Caenorhabditis elegans: one gene and its partner. The protein of the gene in region 2 purifies or fractionates together with the protein of the main gene of each other region. This does not show direct contact. Each region holds a gene or a part of one and is shown on either strand. Other genes may lie near its edges. The genes, in order: W04C9.6 and pygl-1.

The links.
Region 1: the proteins of pygl-1 (region 2) and W04C9.6 fractionate together in Caenorhabditis elegans (co-fractionation; one large-scale study listed by BioGRID). This does not show direct contact.

The regions. Positions count from the first base shown.
Region 1 is NC_003279.8:483,081-490,434, forward strand, and holds W04C9.6 (MFS domain-containing protein), read right to left. Parts: upstream 5,313-7,354; 5' UTR 4,911-5,312; coding exon 4,878-4,910; intron 4,823-4,877; coding exon 4,714-4,822; intron 4,648-4,713; coding exon 4,507-4,647; intron 3,770-4,506; coding exon 3,387-3,769; intron 2,540-3,386; coding exon 2,301-2,539; intron 2,197-2,300; coding exon 2,073-2,196; intron 1,923-2,072; coding exon 1,827-1,922; intron 1,779-1,826; coding exon 1,708-1,778; intron 1,230-1,707; coding exon 1,046-1,229; 3' UTR 959-1,045; downstream 1-958. Other genes in the region: W04C9.9 (Zinc finger protein), read right to left, coding at 790-800; W04C9.2 (MICOS complex subunit MIC13), read left to right, coding at 5,536-5,643, 5,688-5,753, 5,802-5,864, 6,620-6,691; haf-4 (ABC-type antigen peptide transporter), read left to right, coding at 6,971-7,122.
Region 2 is NC_003283.11:3,576,899-3,585,454, reverse strand, and holds pygl-1 (Alpha-1,4 glucan phosphorylase), read right to left. Parts: upstream 6,314-8,556; 5' UTR 6,288-6,313; coding exon 6,234-6,287; intron 4,069-6,233; exon of another isoform or gene 4,058-4,068; coding exon 3,377-4,057; intron 3,325-3,376; exon of another isoform or gene 3,253-3,324; intron 3,136-3,252; exon of another isoform or gene 3,064-3,135; intron 3,002-3,063; coding exon 2,780-3,001; intron 2,724-2,779; coding exon 2,167-2,723; intron 1,861-2,166; coding exon 903-1,860; intron 843-902; coding exon 666-842; 3' UTR 413-665; downstream 1-412. Other genes in the region: rpl-11.1 (Large ribosomal subunit protein uL5A), read left to right, coding at 1-86.

The DNA of each region.
Region 1 (7,354 bases), on a different chromosome or scaffold from region 2:
CATTGCACTTTTCGCGCTCCGATGATAATCGCCTGCCGGACGACGCGTGGAAAAGTGGTGTACTCCCCACGGACAAATACATTTAGTTTTCAACTGAAAACCGAGCCGCGACGCGACACGCTACGCTCCGTAAATGGCCTAATTTCTTTTTTTTAATCTTGAGTTAAAGTTTAATTTTAATTATTTCTACAGAATTGAATGGCTGGGAATGTGCCACGTGGCCGAGAATTCTCCTGCGTGGCCTAGAAAATTCAAAAAAATATTTTTTGGTGGTTTTGATTACAAAATAAAGGATTTATACGGATAAAAACCTATTTTAAAAGCCGTGAAAAAAATCATATCAACCACTGCCTAAAAGATTGAAATTTTTATGATGGCCGAGAATTCTCAAGTGTGGCCTAGGAAAAATCAAGGCTTTTGAAAATTTGCTCATTTCGAAAATTAAAAAAAACAACTCAATTGATAGTAAATTTTAAAATTAAAAATTATTTTTCTGGTTTTTTTTTCTCAATTTTTGCAAAATCAAAATTATAATCAATTTTTAATCCAGAATTCGTCAAGTGGCCTAGAATTCTACTGCGTGGCCTAGAAAATTCCACCAAAATTTAAATTTTCCAAATTGTAAAAATGCTCCAAAAAGTTGAATGGTGGCCGAGGTTTTTCGTTTTTCACTTTTCACAGCTACGGAAAAAAACTCGGCCACCAATAGTTTTTCCTAGGCCATGTTTCAAATGCCCTATTTCTATGTTAATTACAGTATTTTCTAGACAAGATTTTAAAAAAACTCACGAATAGCACATGGAGCTCTGACACTTGCTCCCACCAATACAAAATTCCGAATTTTTTACAAAAAACTGCAAAACTATAAGAATTTGTGGTAGAAATTGGGGCATTTACGTAATAATAATAATAGAAAAATGTCCGCAAATTTTTTTTCATAAATTTCATAGGGAGGAGGTAAGCTTCAGCTAGAAGCCATTCAATTTTATTGGGGCGCCGAAAATCTTCGGAACACTTTTACAATTTATACAGTAGTGTACAACTTTTACAACTTAATAATATCTTCAATACTTCCAGAATATTCTTCTTTTTCCTCCTCAATTGCCACGTCATCATCTTGTAATCTGGTCCATTTTGCTGGCGAGGCGTCGGCAAACAGGCAGAATATAGTATTTACGAAGAGAAGTAAGCCCGCATGCGCCAGGAAACAATTACGCCAGTCTGTGAATCTGAAAAAAATAATCTTGTCTTTTAGGGGACCTACGCCTGCCTGCCTACGTCTGCCTTGCAGGGGACCTTTGCCTACCTACTTGACTACCTTCAAGTGAGACCTATGCTGGTTTGCCTGCATTTTTGTCAGTGCCTTCTAGGCCTATGCCTACCTTACAAACTATGTAGGTCAACTGCCTGCTTTCAAGGTGGCCTAGGTCAGCCTACATGCTATCTACGTCTACCCCAATGTACCCTGTGCCTATCTACCTGCTTTTAATGCTATCTGCCTTTTCGATAGTCTTTTAGGGAATCTACGCCGGTCCAGCTCACATAGGTTATCTATGCCTATGCCTTCCTGCCTGCCTCCAAAGTGACCTACGCTTACCGTGTTTTTTTTTCTAGACCGTATATACCTACATGCCTGCCTTTAAGTTTACCTATGCCTGCCTGCATTCCTCATGCCTGCGTGCCTACATGAATACCCTAAAAACTCACGTATCATCAGTAACAATCATATTGACGAAAAACGGTTCGATGAATATCGTGCAAGCCCAGATGTTCATGATCTGGAAGAGAAATCGTTGGCCTAAAAATTTTCTCGGCCACCCCCTTACCTGCTGCATTGCGAAATAGGCGTACTGCTGGGAGTGCAACGTGGCACACTTGTTGAATCCCGCCGTATTGCACCCCATCACACTTTCGGCGCAAATCTGGAATGATGGAAGAGAATAGGAAAACTAGGCCATGGATGTATGTGCGCTATGTTGATAATCGGTTATTTTCAACGTGGATTATCAATTGAGCGCACTTGTCCCACTGGAAGAGTTTTCCTATCTAGGCCACCACCACCACCCACTCACCATTATAATAATAGCCAGCAAGTGTTTTTCCTGTGGAATAAATGCTAGAACGATGAAAAAAACGGCGGCCACGGCCAGAGCGATTGTGTTGAAAATTTTAGTTTTCAGAGTTTCTGAGATGAATCTGGAATATTGATTTTTGGTGGCCGTAGAGAGGAAAAACTCGGCCACTGATTTTTTTCACAATTATAAAATTATTTTTCCAGGAAAAACCCCCGAAAAACTCACTTAATATAATCACTAATAATTCCCGACGATAATTTCGTAAAAAATTGAAAAATAATGGGTAAGGCGGCCAAAAAACCGGACGAAAGTACGTCATAGTTCAAATAATTTTTCATATATTGCGGATTGAATTGGGATACCAATTGAACTGTTATCAAATCTCCAAACGATGCGATCCAACAAGCCCACAGGCTTAAACTTGTCAGAATATGACGGAATGGAAGATTTTTTGGCCGGGATACCTGCAAAACGAAAAAGTAACGGGCTTCGAATTTCCCCCCCCATGTTTTCAAATGGAAGAGGTGGCCGTGAATAAAGCTAACCTCGACCGGGGGTCGCGACTCGCGACAAACGGGAAAACTCAAAGAAATTTCGTACTGTCGCTACTTTTTTTGAGTTTTCCTGTTTGTCGCAGGTCGCGACCCCCGGTCGAGGTTCGCTTTTTTCACGGCCACCTCTTCCATTTGAAAACATGGGGGAAATTCGAAGCCCGTGAAAAGTTAGGCCATGCAATGCGATGTGGTGGCCGAGGTTTTGAAAACTCGGTTACTCTCATGTAAAAAATCTTGAAGTTGAAGCAAATTTGCGTACATGAAACCCATTTACCTTGCTAGCAGTTTTAGAAAAATTTGGGATTTTCTCATACTAATGAGGGAACGTCTTAATTGTCGACAAATTGCGTACCCCGAGGAACCCACTAATTCAGTCCTAGGTTTAGGCATAGGCTAAGGCATAGGCTTAGGCGTAGGCCTAGGCTTAGGCTTAGGCTTACACGTGGTGTCAGAGTGCCTCATTTCGGCTTGATCTACGTAGATCTACAAAAAATGCGGGGGAAGAGCCGCAGAGTTTTCTACTGATTTCGCATGGTTAAGAGTGTGCTGACGTCACATTTTTTGGGGCAAAAATTCCCGCATTTTTGGTAGATCAAACCGTAATAGCACAGCCAGGCACCACGTGCGCTTAGGCTTGGGCTTTCCGTAGTCCTTCGGGCGCGTTTTTCTCAAAAATGATACGTGGTACAATTTCAGGTTTTTTTCCGCTCCAAAATCTAGTTATAATTTGTGTCCGGTAGAGCGCGTTTGCACTCACTTTCTTTCCCGATTTCCCTTCTCGAATCCTCTCCAATTCCTTCTCGCCAACCCAACTGTGCTCACTCGGCGAGCACTTGAAAAATAGGAAAAACAGCGAAAAAGTGACCAACGATACACCGGCGTGCACATAGTAAACCGACGTCCATCCACCAGACGAAGAGCATAACCATCCCGAAACTGGCATTGTAAATATATTTGAAAGTTGTGTATTTCCGGTTAATAGGCCAATGAATACTCCGTGCTCGTATGGGGTCGCCCAATTTGCTGTAATTGAGCCAGCGAGGGGAAATGTGGCTGAAAATGCCATTCCTTGACAAATACGGGCGGCCACAAACCATCCGTAGCCAATGGTACTTGCCAACGGGATAAGGGCTGTTGAAACTGGAAAAATTGAGTGCAATACATCATATTTGACGCGCAATTTTAAAATTTAAAAAATGGAAACGCGCTCTAATGATGCTTGGTGTACTCCTCTCGGACAATAAATGTCAATAATTTTTGAAAAATCGATAATTTTTTTTTAATTTCAGAAAAATTCGTGAAATCTGTTTTATTTTGCGCGTAAAATATGATTCTTAAATACTTAATTCAGTATTTTACGCACGTGGTATCAGAGTGTCTCATTTAGGCTTGATCTACGTAGATCTACAAAAAATGCGGGAGAAGAGACGCAGAGTTCTCAACTGATTTCGTATGGTTAAGAACGTGCTGACGTCACATATTTTCGGGCAAATAATTCCCGCATTTTTTGTAGATCAAACCGTGATGGGACAGCCTGACACCACGTGCTTACGCGGAATTTTTCACAATTTTTTGTGCTTCATGCACCATGTTTTTGTTTCGAAAAATCAGATTATTGTTTTGCGCGTCAAATTCAACGCCCACTGTGCAATACACCATATTTGACGATCAATTTCAAAAATTTTGTATGCTTTCGATGCATGCTTTTTGGGGTACTGTAGCTTTGAAAATACGCATGCACTGGATCTGACGACAAAATGCACAGTTTTTATAAAATTAGTCTATAGAAATTAGTCAGTTTTCTCGAAACAAATAAAAACTACAGAAAACTCGGCCACCGATATTTTTTTTTTTCGCGGCCACGATTGACGTCATACCTCCCGAAATAATTCCGGCGACAATGAAGACAGGTTTATGCGGCAAATGTTGAAAAGAAATGGAAAATGGAATCGAGGCGGCAAGACTTCCAATAGCCACACACGATTGAAGAAAATTCGACTCTGATTTGGTATAGTTCACTGAAAAAATCAACTATTTTGGCGGCCGCCAATGGAAAAACTCGGCCACCGAATTAAAAAAAAAACCTTTTGAAGTTGAAGTACTATTATCATCTTGCATACAAATTTTTGTAAAATTATAAGTATTCATATTTGAAAGAATCGAGGTCAAACACAGTGTGGCACATATTAAAATCTGCAAAAAAATCGTGAAAATTCAATTTTCCGGGGGTTTTGAGTTCAAAAAGTACCAGAAATCGGACAGGAACCGGCGAGTTGACCATGGTGCATCAGAAACCGGAATTTTAAATAAGTAAAAAAATTTATGATGCTCGTGGTGATAACGAAAAGTGCAGTGATCAATTTAAGGGAAATACTGCTGGGGGATTAAACGTTGACACTGTCAACTTGATAGTGTTAATTTGATCAATGCTTTGTACTTGTTTTTTGCAGGAAAAATTCTTTGAAAATTGCAAGACTATAGTATAGTCTGAAAATTTGATGAAATCTAAAACTTTAATAAATACCGTTAATTATCATTATTTTTATGAAATTTTAATATAATCTACTTAAAATTTAATTTTCTAGGCATCTGTGAGCTTAAATTTTCGATTATCCCTCGCCAAATTAAAGATTTGCAGACTTTTAAGCTTATAAGCTTATTTCAGTGAGAGAGAGCATTGTGAGAAGAGAAACGCAGACGAGGCTGGCGCGTTTCTCGTGCTCTGACGCGAGTCTCGATTTGCTTGCGCATTTCTCGTGCGCGCGACGTTCATTTTATTTTTCCGATTTTTTTTCAGTTTTTCTGAACTTTTCTTCTTGAATTTGTGATTTTTTATTTATTTTTCACGTCTTGTTGCAAAATAACTGATTTTTCACACAAAATATTCGAATTTTCAGGTCGGCAACATGGGATTCTTGTGGAAAACTGCAAAACTCGGAATTAAAGTTGGACTCGTCGCCGGCGCCGTCAAACTGTCAATCGATAACGATATTTGGTCGACTAACAATGTTAAAGTATTAGTTTTCCCCCGTTTTTCCACGAAAATTTTCATTTTCAGGGCAGCGAACTGTATCAAAAGCTTAAAAAGTACATTCTTCCCGGCACCGTCGTCTTTCCAGAGCAGGTTTTATCGATTTTTTCTCTGAAAATGCAATTTTTTTCTTATTTTCAGCTCCCAACAGTCGAAGATGTGCAGCTGAAGGCCGGTGGAAAGTGGAACAGTGCTGTTGACTCGGTAGGCTGCATTTTTGAGAGGAAACACGGAAAAATTGCTGCGAAAGTTGGAAAAAAGTCCTGGAAAATGGAGATTTGGCGCCGAACGTTCAAGAAATTCCATAATTTCAAAAATCTATCTGAAAAATTGAAAAATATAAATTTTCAGTCATTTTTAGTCAAATTTCAGAGCTAAACGTCGAAAAAAGTGCCTAAAACTAGGAAAAATATGACAAAAAGACACAAATTTTGGAGAAAATTGCTGAAAATAATGCAAAACACTTTTTTTCACAAAAAGCGAAATTCAAAAAAAATTCCACGTCAAAAATTAACCAAATGCAAGTACGCTCCATCGCACTTTTTTCCAATTTCTGACTCGAAAAGTCTTAAACTTCTGGTTTTGTAGGAAAGATAATGCAAAACGCAATTTTTAGTCCAAAATTCAGAGAAAATTCTGAAATTGTTTTTAAAAAAAATGCAAGCACACTCCATGGCACTTTTTTTTCAAAATTTCGCGTAGAAAATTACAGACATTAGCAAAATTCCGACGATTTCGCTGCGAGACCAGAAATATTGTAGGAAATTCAAACATTATCCGAAAATAATGCAAACGCGCTCTATCGCACTTTTCTCCAAGTTCCCACTCAAAAAGCATAGAAAATACCTGAAATTGCCGTTTTTTTTCACCGGAATTTCAAATTTACGCGATTTCGCTGCGAGACCCAAGCTAGTGCAGTGGAGCGCATTTCCAACAATTTCAAACTCAATTTTTTTCAGGTATTCACCACAATCGAGAACGTCCCATCAAGCGTGAACACAGTGGCCAATCGACTCATCAATAATAAATAAATTCCCCATAAAAATTATCGATTTATCGATTTTCCCCCCGAATCCTCGTGTATTCCTTCGTTAGAATGTACTTTTTCCCTCCTCATTTTCTAGAAGTATTTGTGTGTGTGCTCTATGAAAAAATTTGCAATTTTTGACTTTAAACGGACGGTGCATTATATTATTTTATCAGTTCCCATCGTTGATCAATTTTCTCCACTGATTATCAATTCACTGATAAGCTCACACTGCCTGCCCAACTCAATTCATCGCAACTTCTTCTCCCTGCTTTTTTTTGCCATGAATTCGACGGTGGCTTCCCGTTTCTCATGGGGACTCATTCTGGCGTCGATCGATTTTTTGGCGTGCCTACTGTTCGCCTGCCTGCATGATGGAACTTTCAAATTCGCGAATTTTACTTCGCAATTTGGCGATTTTTCGTTTTTTACGAGGTTCGATTGATTGGTGGCCGAGTTAATTTTAGGCCACGAAAAATGAAAATTGAAGCCGAGTGTCATTTTCGCTGGAATTCTAATTTTCAGTGTGTAAAAATATAGAAAACTGCAAAAAATTTTGAATTCCCGCCAAAAACTAACGTTACGAGACCCAAGTACAGTGGAGCGCAGTTGCAAAAAAAAATTTTTAATGATTTTTTGCAACTACGCTCCACAGTCCTTGGGTCTC
Region 2 (8,556 bases):
CAATCAAATGGTTCCAGCAAAAGTACGATGGAATCATTCTGCCACCAAAGCCAAAGGTCAAGAAGAACTTCTTCCGTCGTCGTTAAGTTTTTCTATTTTCTGAATAAACTGTTGTTATTAAAAATGAAATTGCTAATGTTTTGTTAAAGTTGTGAATCATAGTCTGATTGTCGTGGATCTGAACTTCAACTTCCTGGAATCAATAATTTTACGTTGCGAATGGTCTTCTGATGTAGAAAGTTCAGGATATTTATCCAGGAATTTTGAAAACTCATCGAAAAGGAGTTTGGTATTTTGCTAACGAGCTGGTCGTAGAGGTATCGAAACTTCTTTGAAGATCCTTCAGACAGCCATAATTTTTAATTAAATTTCAGCATTTGCAGATTCGAGTCAAAATTAAAAAAAAAAAGTTGATATTTTCAGTCAATTTATCATAAATATGCAGGGCAGACGTGCAAATAGACAATCTCAAAGTATGGCAACACATTCGGGGGAAGTACGATTATTGGACTGGGGGCAGAGAGGACAAAATCAATTTGATCTTGAAGATTCACAAGAATTATCGGGGGAGGGAAAGGCTTCTATAAAAATGCTATAAACTAAATGGGACGGAGAGGAGGGGAAGTTATGGCGATAATTAATTACAATGTTAGTGCATAGAAGAATTATTCGCTCTTCTCATTCTCATATGGTGCTGGAAGAGAGCTCTCGAACTGGTCGATTCCCCAGATTTCACGAGCGTATTCGGTGATTGTGCGATCTGTTGAGAACTTTCCGGTCGAGGCGATGTTGTAGAGGGCCATGCGAGACCACTTCTCTTGGTCGCGGAATGTAGCGGAGACCTGAAAATAATTTATTTTGATCAGTAAAAATTTGAATTAGTTGAATTTTTTGAGTTTTACCTTATCCTGGGCTTCAATGAAAGCGTCGAAATCGGCGCACACCATGAAACGATCATGATAGCGGAGCATGTTGGAGAGATCCTTGAGCTGATCTGGATCTTCTGGAGTGAACATGCCACCTTCGATTTGCTCGATGATCTGCTTGAGCATTGGGCTCTTGTCGATGAACTCCTGCGAAGAGTATCCGCGCTTTGTGAGCGCCTCAACCTCCTCGACGTTCATTCCGAAGATGAAGATGTTCTCGTCGCCCATCTCCTCGGCCATCTCAACGTTGGCTCCGTCGAGAGTTCCGATTGTGAGAGCTCCGTTCAACATGAACTTCATGTTTCCGGTTCCTGAAGCCTCGGTTCCGGCGGTCGAGATCTGTTCAGAGAGATCAGAAGCTGGAATGATCTTTTCAGCCATCGAGACACGGTAGTTCTCGAGGAAGATGACCTTCAAACGATCACCAACGATGGCATCATTGTTGACTTGTTCGGCGACGGCGGTGATCAAACGAATGATCTGCTTAGCCATATGGTATCCTGGAGCAGCTTTTCCTCCGTACAACACGGTACGCTTAACCATATCGATGTTCGGGTTCTCCTTGATACGATTGTAGAGAGCAATGACGTGGAGAATATTGAGAAGCTGTCTCTTGTACTCGTGGATTCTCTTCACATGCACATCGAACAACGAAGCGGCGTTCACGTTGACATTGTACTCGTCGCTCAAATACTGGGCGACTTGTTGCTTGTTCTCGAGCTTCACACGACGAATCGAATCGAGGAACCCGGCATCGTTGGCGTACTCCTTGAGCTTCTGAAGCTCGTCGAGATTGGTGATCCACGACTCGCCGATCTTCTCGACGATGAGGTCGGCGAGAGATGGGTTGGAGAGAAGAAGCCAGCGGCGTGGTGTGATTCCGTTCGTCTTGTTTTGGAAGCGATCCGGGTAGAACTCATAGAAGTCACGGAAGCTGGAAATGGATGATATTAATTTTTTAAAATGGTAATTTTGCAATTTGCGCGTAAGAAAAATTGGGCGGGCCGGGATTGCAATTTGCGGCGCGCGATTTAGCAACACCGCCGCACGATGTTTTTTCTCTTTCTGTCCGAATTTTCAATGACAAATTATCAATTTTTCGTGATTTTATCGAGTTCACATATCGAAATCTTTCAAAACATCATGCGAAAAACAGCCAAAATAAATTCGTGCGGCGGAGCTGCAAAATGATGCGTCGCCCATTGGTTCTAGCGCCAGGTTTCAGAGCATTTTCGCTTACGTGGAGCTCTTGAGAAGATCCGAGTGAAGAGCCGCGACTCCATTAATGGCATGAGAAGCCACAATGCACAAATGAGCCATATTGATGCGCTTCTCGCCGAACTGATCGGCCTCCTCGACAATCGACATACGACGCATACGGTCGAAATCTCCTGGGAATCTCTGCGAGATGGTGTTCATGAACTTCTGATTGATCTCGTAGATGATCTCCAAATGACGCGGCAACAAATTCTGCATAAGCGACACTGGCCAGCGCTCGAGGGCCTCTGGGAGCAAGGTGTGATTGGTGTAGGCGTAGGTCTTGATGCAAATGTCCCAGGCCTGATCCCAGGTGAGTCCCTCGACGTCGATGAGGAGACGGATCAACTCGGGAATTCCGATCGATGGATGAGTGTCGTTGAGCTGGATGGCCACCTTATCCGGGAAGGTCTCGAAGTTGACACGGACGGCCTCGCGGTTTCCGTAGATGGAGGACTTGAAGCGGCGGATGATGTCCTGGAGGGTGGCGGCGACGAGGAAGTATTGCTGCTTGAGACGGAGCTCCTTTCCGAGGAACATCTGAAAATGTGGGGAAATTGATTTTTTTTTTCTGCCAAAATCTAGCTCAAACATACGTTGTCATTCGGGTAGAGGACACGAGTGATGTTCTCGGACAAGTTACGATCCATCACAGCCTGCACGTAGTCTCCGTCGTTGAAGAACTTGAGGTGGAAATGATTTTCGGCTTTGGCGGACCACAAACGAAGCGTGTTGACGATGTTGTTCTTGTATCCGGGGACTGGTGTGTCGTATGGCATGGCAAACACAACTTGAGTGTCGATCCATTTCGATTTTCCCTGAAATAATATATTTTTTAATGAAAAATAAAAAAAGTAAGCGAAAAAAAGAAAAAAGGAATGGGCCGAACCGGGGATTGAACCCGGGACCTCTCGCACCCAAAGCGAGAATCATACCACTAGACCATTCGGCCACGATTAGATACGTGAAAGCTGGTGATGAAGAGATATCGAATCTTATTATTTCTCGCAATCAGCCAATTATCGATTATTGTGCATCTTGATTGCTTCCAAACACGATTTCCAAACATGGCCGAATGGTCTAGTGGTATGATTCTCGCTTTGGGTGCGAGAGGTCCCGGGTTCAATCCCCAGTTCGGCCCATTCCTTTTTTATTTTTTTAAATTTAATTTTCTCCAAAAAATCAAAACTCACATCCTCCTTCACAACTTTTCCATAAAAGTTGACCGGAAGCATGTACTCTGGACGAGCCTTCTCCCATGGATTTCCGAAGCGAAGCCAATCGTCTGGCTCCTCAATCTGCCATCCGTCACGAATAAGTTGCTTGAAGATTCCGTACTCGTAGCGAAGCCCGTATCCGTAAGCCGGAATACCCAGCGTGGCCATCGAGTCGAGGAAACACGCGGCGAGACGTCCGAGTCCTCCGTTTCCGAGCCCGGCGTCCTCTTCGATCTCCTGAAGCTCCTCAATGTCTAGACCGAGCTGGTAGAGCGCCTCGTCGACGGTCGCCTGAATTCCGAGGTTCATCATTGTGTTCGACAGCGTTCGCCCCATGTAGAACTCCAACGACAGATAGTAGACCCGCTTCGGATCCTTGTCATAGTAGTGTTGTTGAGTTCGTATCCAGCGAGACACGAGATGATCGCGGACAGTGTTGGCGAGCGCGAAGTAGTAGTCGCGATCGGTGGCCACGTTACGATCCTTGATGATCGAGAAGTGAAGGTGGCGATTGAACGCCTTCTTGATGTTCGACACGTTCTCCACTTGAGCGATTCCGCGCACGGAGATCTGCTTGCGACGATCGTGATCGTTGGTGATCATGCTGAACAGCTTCGGACTCGACGATGAGGCAGTCGATTCGGCAACCACGGGCTGCTGAAAATTGGAAATTGGTTTTTTTGGGAGAAAAAATGAGCGGAAAGTGGTGAAAATTATAACTTGTTCGGCTACTGTGATAAGAATGGTGGACAAACAAAAATTTCGAACACTGCAGGCAATGGCGAGTCAGGCCAGAAAACAAAATGTGTTGCGAGATAGTAGTCGACGCAGTACAAAGTCAACAGGAGGGGGGCAGTTCAGTGATCAGTCAACAATCAATATTGATAGCAGGGGCCGGCCCCGTGATTTCCAAGATGAAAGATTTTTGAAAAAAGTATGAAAGCCACGTGGATTTGCTATATTTTTCAAAAAAATCGCAAATTTCCGCAAAAACCTTTAGTTTTGCGAACTTTTCCGTGTCGCAGTTCGCAGAAACTAGCTTTTATTTGATTAACATCATTTATTGGGCATTTATCCAACGTTTTTTCATTGATCTAGGTGCATTTAAGCCGATAAGGGACCAAAAATGCCTCAATCAACGAAATAAGTGATGAAAATATGCAATAAAAGATGATAATCAAATAAAAGTTAGTCTCTGAGCACTGCGACACGGAAAAGCTGGCAAAACTGGGGATCTTAGCTAAAATTAGTAATTTTCTGCGAAGTTTTGATCCTATACAAGCAAGCATTCCTCCTTGAACCAAAAAAAAAATCGAAGAAAAAATATTTTCGCTGATCATTGAGGAGTGAAATGCATCGCTTCAAACTGATCAGGCTAAAACGTCGAATAATATCAGTGTTGACCGTGTCGGCGGTCAGTCAACATGCAGAAAACTACCGATAAACTGATAACGCGTAAGTGATAATAAAACAACAATCAGTAGACGACGACAGGATATTTCGGTGTATTTTTATCACCCGGTCGGCCCAAGAAAATCGAAAAAAAAATTAATGAAAGTGAGGGGCACTTTCTTCTGGGCTACGGAAGACTTTGTTCTTTGCTCACAGCCTTTTTTGTTTAGCCTGAAGCTTGAACTTTAAAGCTTTTCTACTTATGATTTTGTCAAAGAAAAGCATTTAATTGTCGCAAAACCGAATCTTCAAAGATTGTGCTGTCAACTCGAATTAATTAATTAAAATCTTGCGGAAATCTGTTCGAATATGGAAAAGACTATCGGTAGACATGGCCGCTTTGTGTTTGATAAACAATTCTTGTCACTGCCGATTTATCAATTCTTTTTCAACTGAGACGAGTGTGTGCACGTGAATGATCGATGCCATTGGAAATTGAGAAAATTTGAAAAAAAGTTCCGAAAACTTTCGGGGAGCTGCCACGCTTATGTGGAATCGAAAAAAGAGCATAGAGGCCCGAGCCATCTAAAAAAAATGGATGGGGAGAGGATGCGAAGGGGTTTGTGAGCGTGTGTGTAAAATGTGAGGAGAGGAAAACAACTCTGGGAGAAGCAGAGATGTAGAGAAAAATACATGTTGTGTGTGACCCCGACGGACACTGATAGGGAAACAGAGAGAGAGAGAAGCAGGCGGAGATTCAAATTTTTTGTCGAGAAGATGACGAGATTGAAGATTGAAAAATTGAAAAACCAAGAAATCAAGAGATTTTTTATTTTTTTTTTGGCGAGGAAAAATCTGTTTCTAGAAGCTTTAATATTAATTTCCCGACTTTCTTATCATCACCGCCTCCTGTTATGATATCAATGAGAAGACGGGCGGTGCAGCAGAACAACAAAACGGGTATTTTTCCGTTTTTTGAACACTGTATATGTACAGTGAGGACCAATCACCGCACAAACAACGCGACGAGCTGGAGGGGGCAAGGTGAACGATTCTTGAGGCGTATAGGTTCGATAGATTCCAATTTTCACCGTCGCTTATGAAATGAAATGACCAGTGAAACGAGAGCTGGGAGCCGAAGTCCTATAGAAGAGGAAGAGGATGGGCTGAAGAAAAGTGGCGGGAAAAGTAGACTGACATGTGTGTGTGTGTGTGTGTGTGCCGGCGAGAAGCGAAAAGGAGAAGCCTGAAGTGAAGCGTACGTGTTTTTCGGCAAGATTCAGCCGGCCGTTTCCCCATTTTGCACGCACACACTCACTTAAATCCCTGCCTGCTCGCTGTTTTTTTTCTTATGATTTTCTGGCTTATGAAGAGATGAAGCAGATGAAGCAGATGATGAAGAAGAAGCTTGATAGCATGAAATAATCAGCGAATTACTTACCGGGCGCACGTTGTTCCAGTTGAAGAATCCAAAACGAGCAGCAATATCCGACATTTTCGGTGTCACCGGCGGCTACGAAGGTGAACAGTGAAGAATGACTGATAAAAATTTGGAGAAGACAATCAAAAAATTGACGAAAACAAGTGGTTTATTGCACCGAAAATGCAGAAATTGGCGCCATGATTGAAAATTGGAAAACAAAATTTTCGCGCCAACAACACCGAGGGTACGGTAGGCGAGTACGCAAACACCGATGCGCACCGTACTCGCCGTAGCGGATTTGAATTTAAATTTAATTAAAAATAAATAAATAATTTAGTTTTTCTTGCTTGAAAAACAGTTTTTCCTAAAAATTGCAGATTATTTTAAAGAAAATTCATTTAAGATCAAATTTAGAACAAATTATATTGAAAACTTGCTTCAAAGCATAGAAAATTGGCCGTAACAACATAATATAACTGTTGAAAAAAAACTTTTTATCTCAATTTTTTAATGATTTTTTAAAAAGAATTTTGCAAGTATATAAGAAAAGTGGATGAATTAATTTCGAATTCCTGCGCAAATAAATGAAACGTTTTGACTTTTTCCCATTTTCTGTCAAAATTAATTGTTTTTGTTTTGATTTTTCGATTTAAAACACTTAAAACACCGTTCATCTAATTTTCAGATATTTTTTGCGTGAAGGAAAATTGATACCACTAGAAAAAAAATACCACTAGAAAAAAAAATTTGGCGTAAAAATCGATGATTTTACTTTTTTTCCGGAAAAAAAGTCTGAAAATTTGAAAGAAAAAGGTGATTCAAGCCAGAAATCGCTAAATTATCGTCAGAAATTCAAAAATAATTACCTTTTTTCGAAAAAATTGAAAAAAAAAATTATTTCAAATTATTTCATGAAACAACCTCTAGTTCAATAATAAAATATTATTAAAATGTTTAATACAATTAAAAAAATTCAATTTTACTGCTAAAAATTTATTTTTTTAAATAAATTTATATTTTAGATATTTCTGGAACACTACATCCTGAGAATGCGTATTGCGCAGCACAATTGACGCGCAAAATATTTCGTAGCGAAAACTACAGTAATCCTTCGAATGACTACTGTAGCGCTTGTGTCGATTTACGGGCTCGATTTTCGAAATGATTTTATTTTCGAACAGTGACAGTGATGACACAATCAAACCCGTAAATCGACACAAGCATTACAGTAGTCATTTAAAGAGTTACTGTAGTTTTCGCTACGAGATATTTTGCGCGTCAAATGTGTTGCGCAATACGCATTCTCAGGATTTAGTGTGTCCGTAATAAAATCTGAAGAAAAACTGCTAAAAAATGTCTTTTTTAATTAACAACATGTTGTTTAGTATTTTCTGGTATACTTAGTTATGCTGAACAGTTTTATGAAATAAAAAAGAATGACTCCATACCATTTTACCGTACTTTTGAATTTTTGAATATAACAGCTTTTGGTTAAGTTTTGAAATTTTTTAAAATAAACTTCCGTACAAGCTAGAGTATGTTGTTTGGTATTTTCTGGTATATTTGATTATGCTGAACAGTTTTATGAAATAAAAAATAATCGCTTCGGTAATTTAGACGCACATTTCTTAATTGAATTCGCATGGTTTAGAGTGTGATGAGGTAATTTTTCTGTGGAAAAATTTCCCTTATTTTTTGTAGATCAAGTCGCTATGGAACATCTTGACACCATGTTTGGAAATCGACGAAAATAGTTGAAATTTTTTGAAACTACGGTTTTACCGCCGATACCTAACGAGACCCAACTTGTAGGAGCGGAGCTTTGACGTTAGAGCGCGATTGCATTTTCGTGTGCAGCGCGGCCTATCCTCAATTTTTTTGCCTTTTTTAGAAAAAAAAAAGCGAACATTTCGCTGTTTCTTTTCGTCGCTCACAGTACACAAACACGGATGCTAGGCCAACTTGAACAGAATCAGGCACCCCCAGCAGGCTCAATAGCCCAACTGTGAACCAAGCCAGAGCCGGAAAAAAATAAATAGGGGGTCACAAGCGCACCGAGCAGAATATCCACGAAACATGTCCTAGAGCGAAATTTAAAAAAAAACAGTTTTTTCAATTTTGTAGAACTCACCAAAAATGTAAATTAAACAATGGCCATCGATAAGATGCCATTTGCGGTGGGGTCTTGAGCAGAATACAGTAACCGCCTAATATGTGAAATGATACAAGTACGGCGGTAATTGCGTGGGAGGTATAGGCCAGTCCTTGCCAACAACACAAGAACGTTTCGGATTTTGAACATTTGGAAAATTGGAGAGATAGAGACAATATTCTTGCAAGG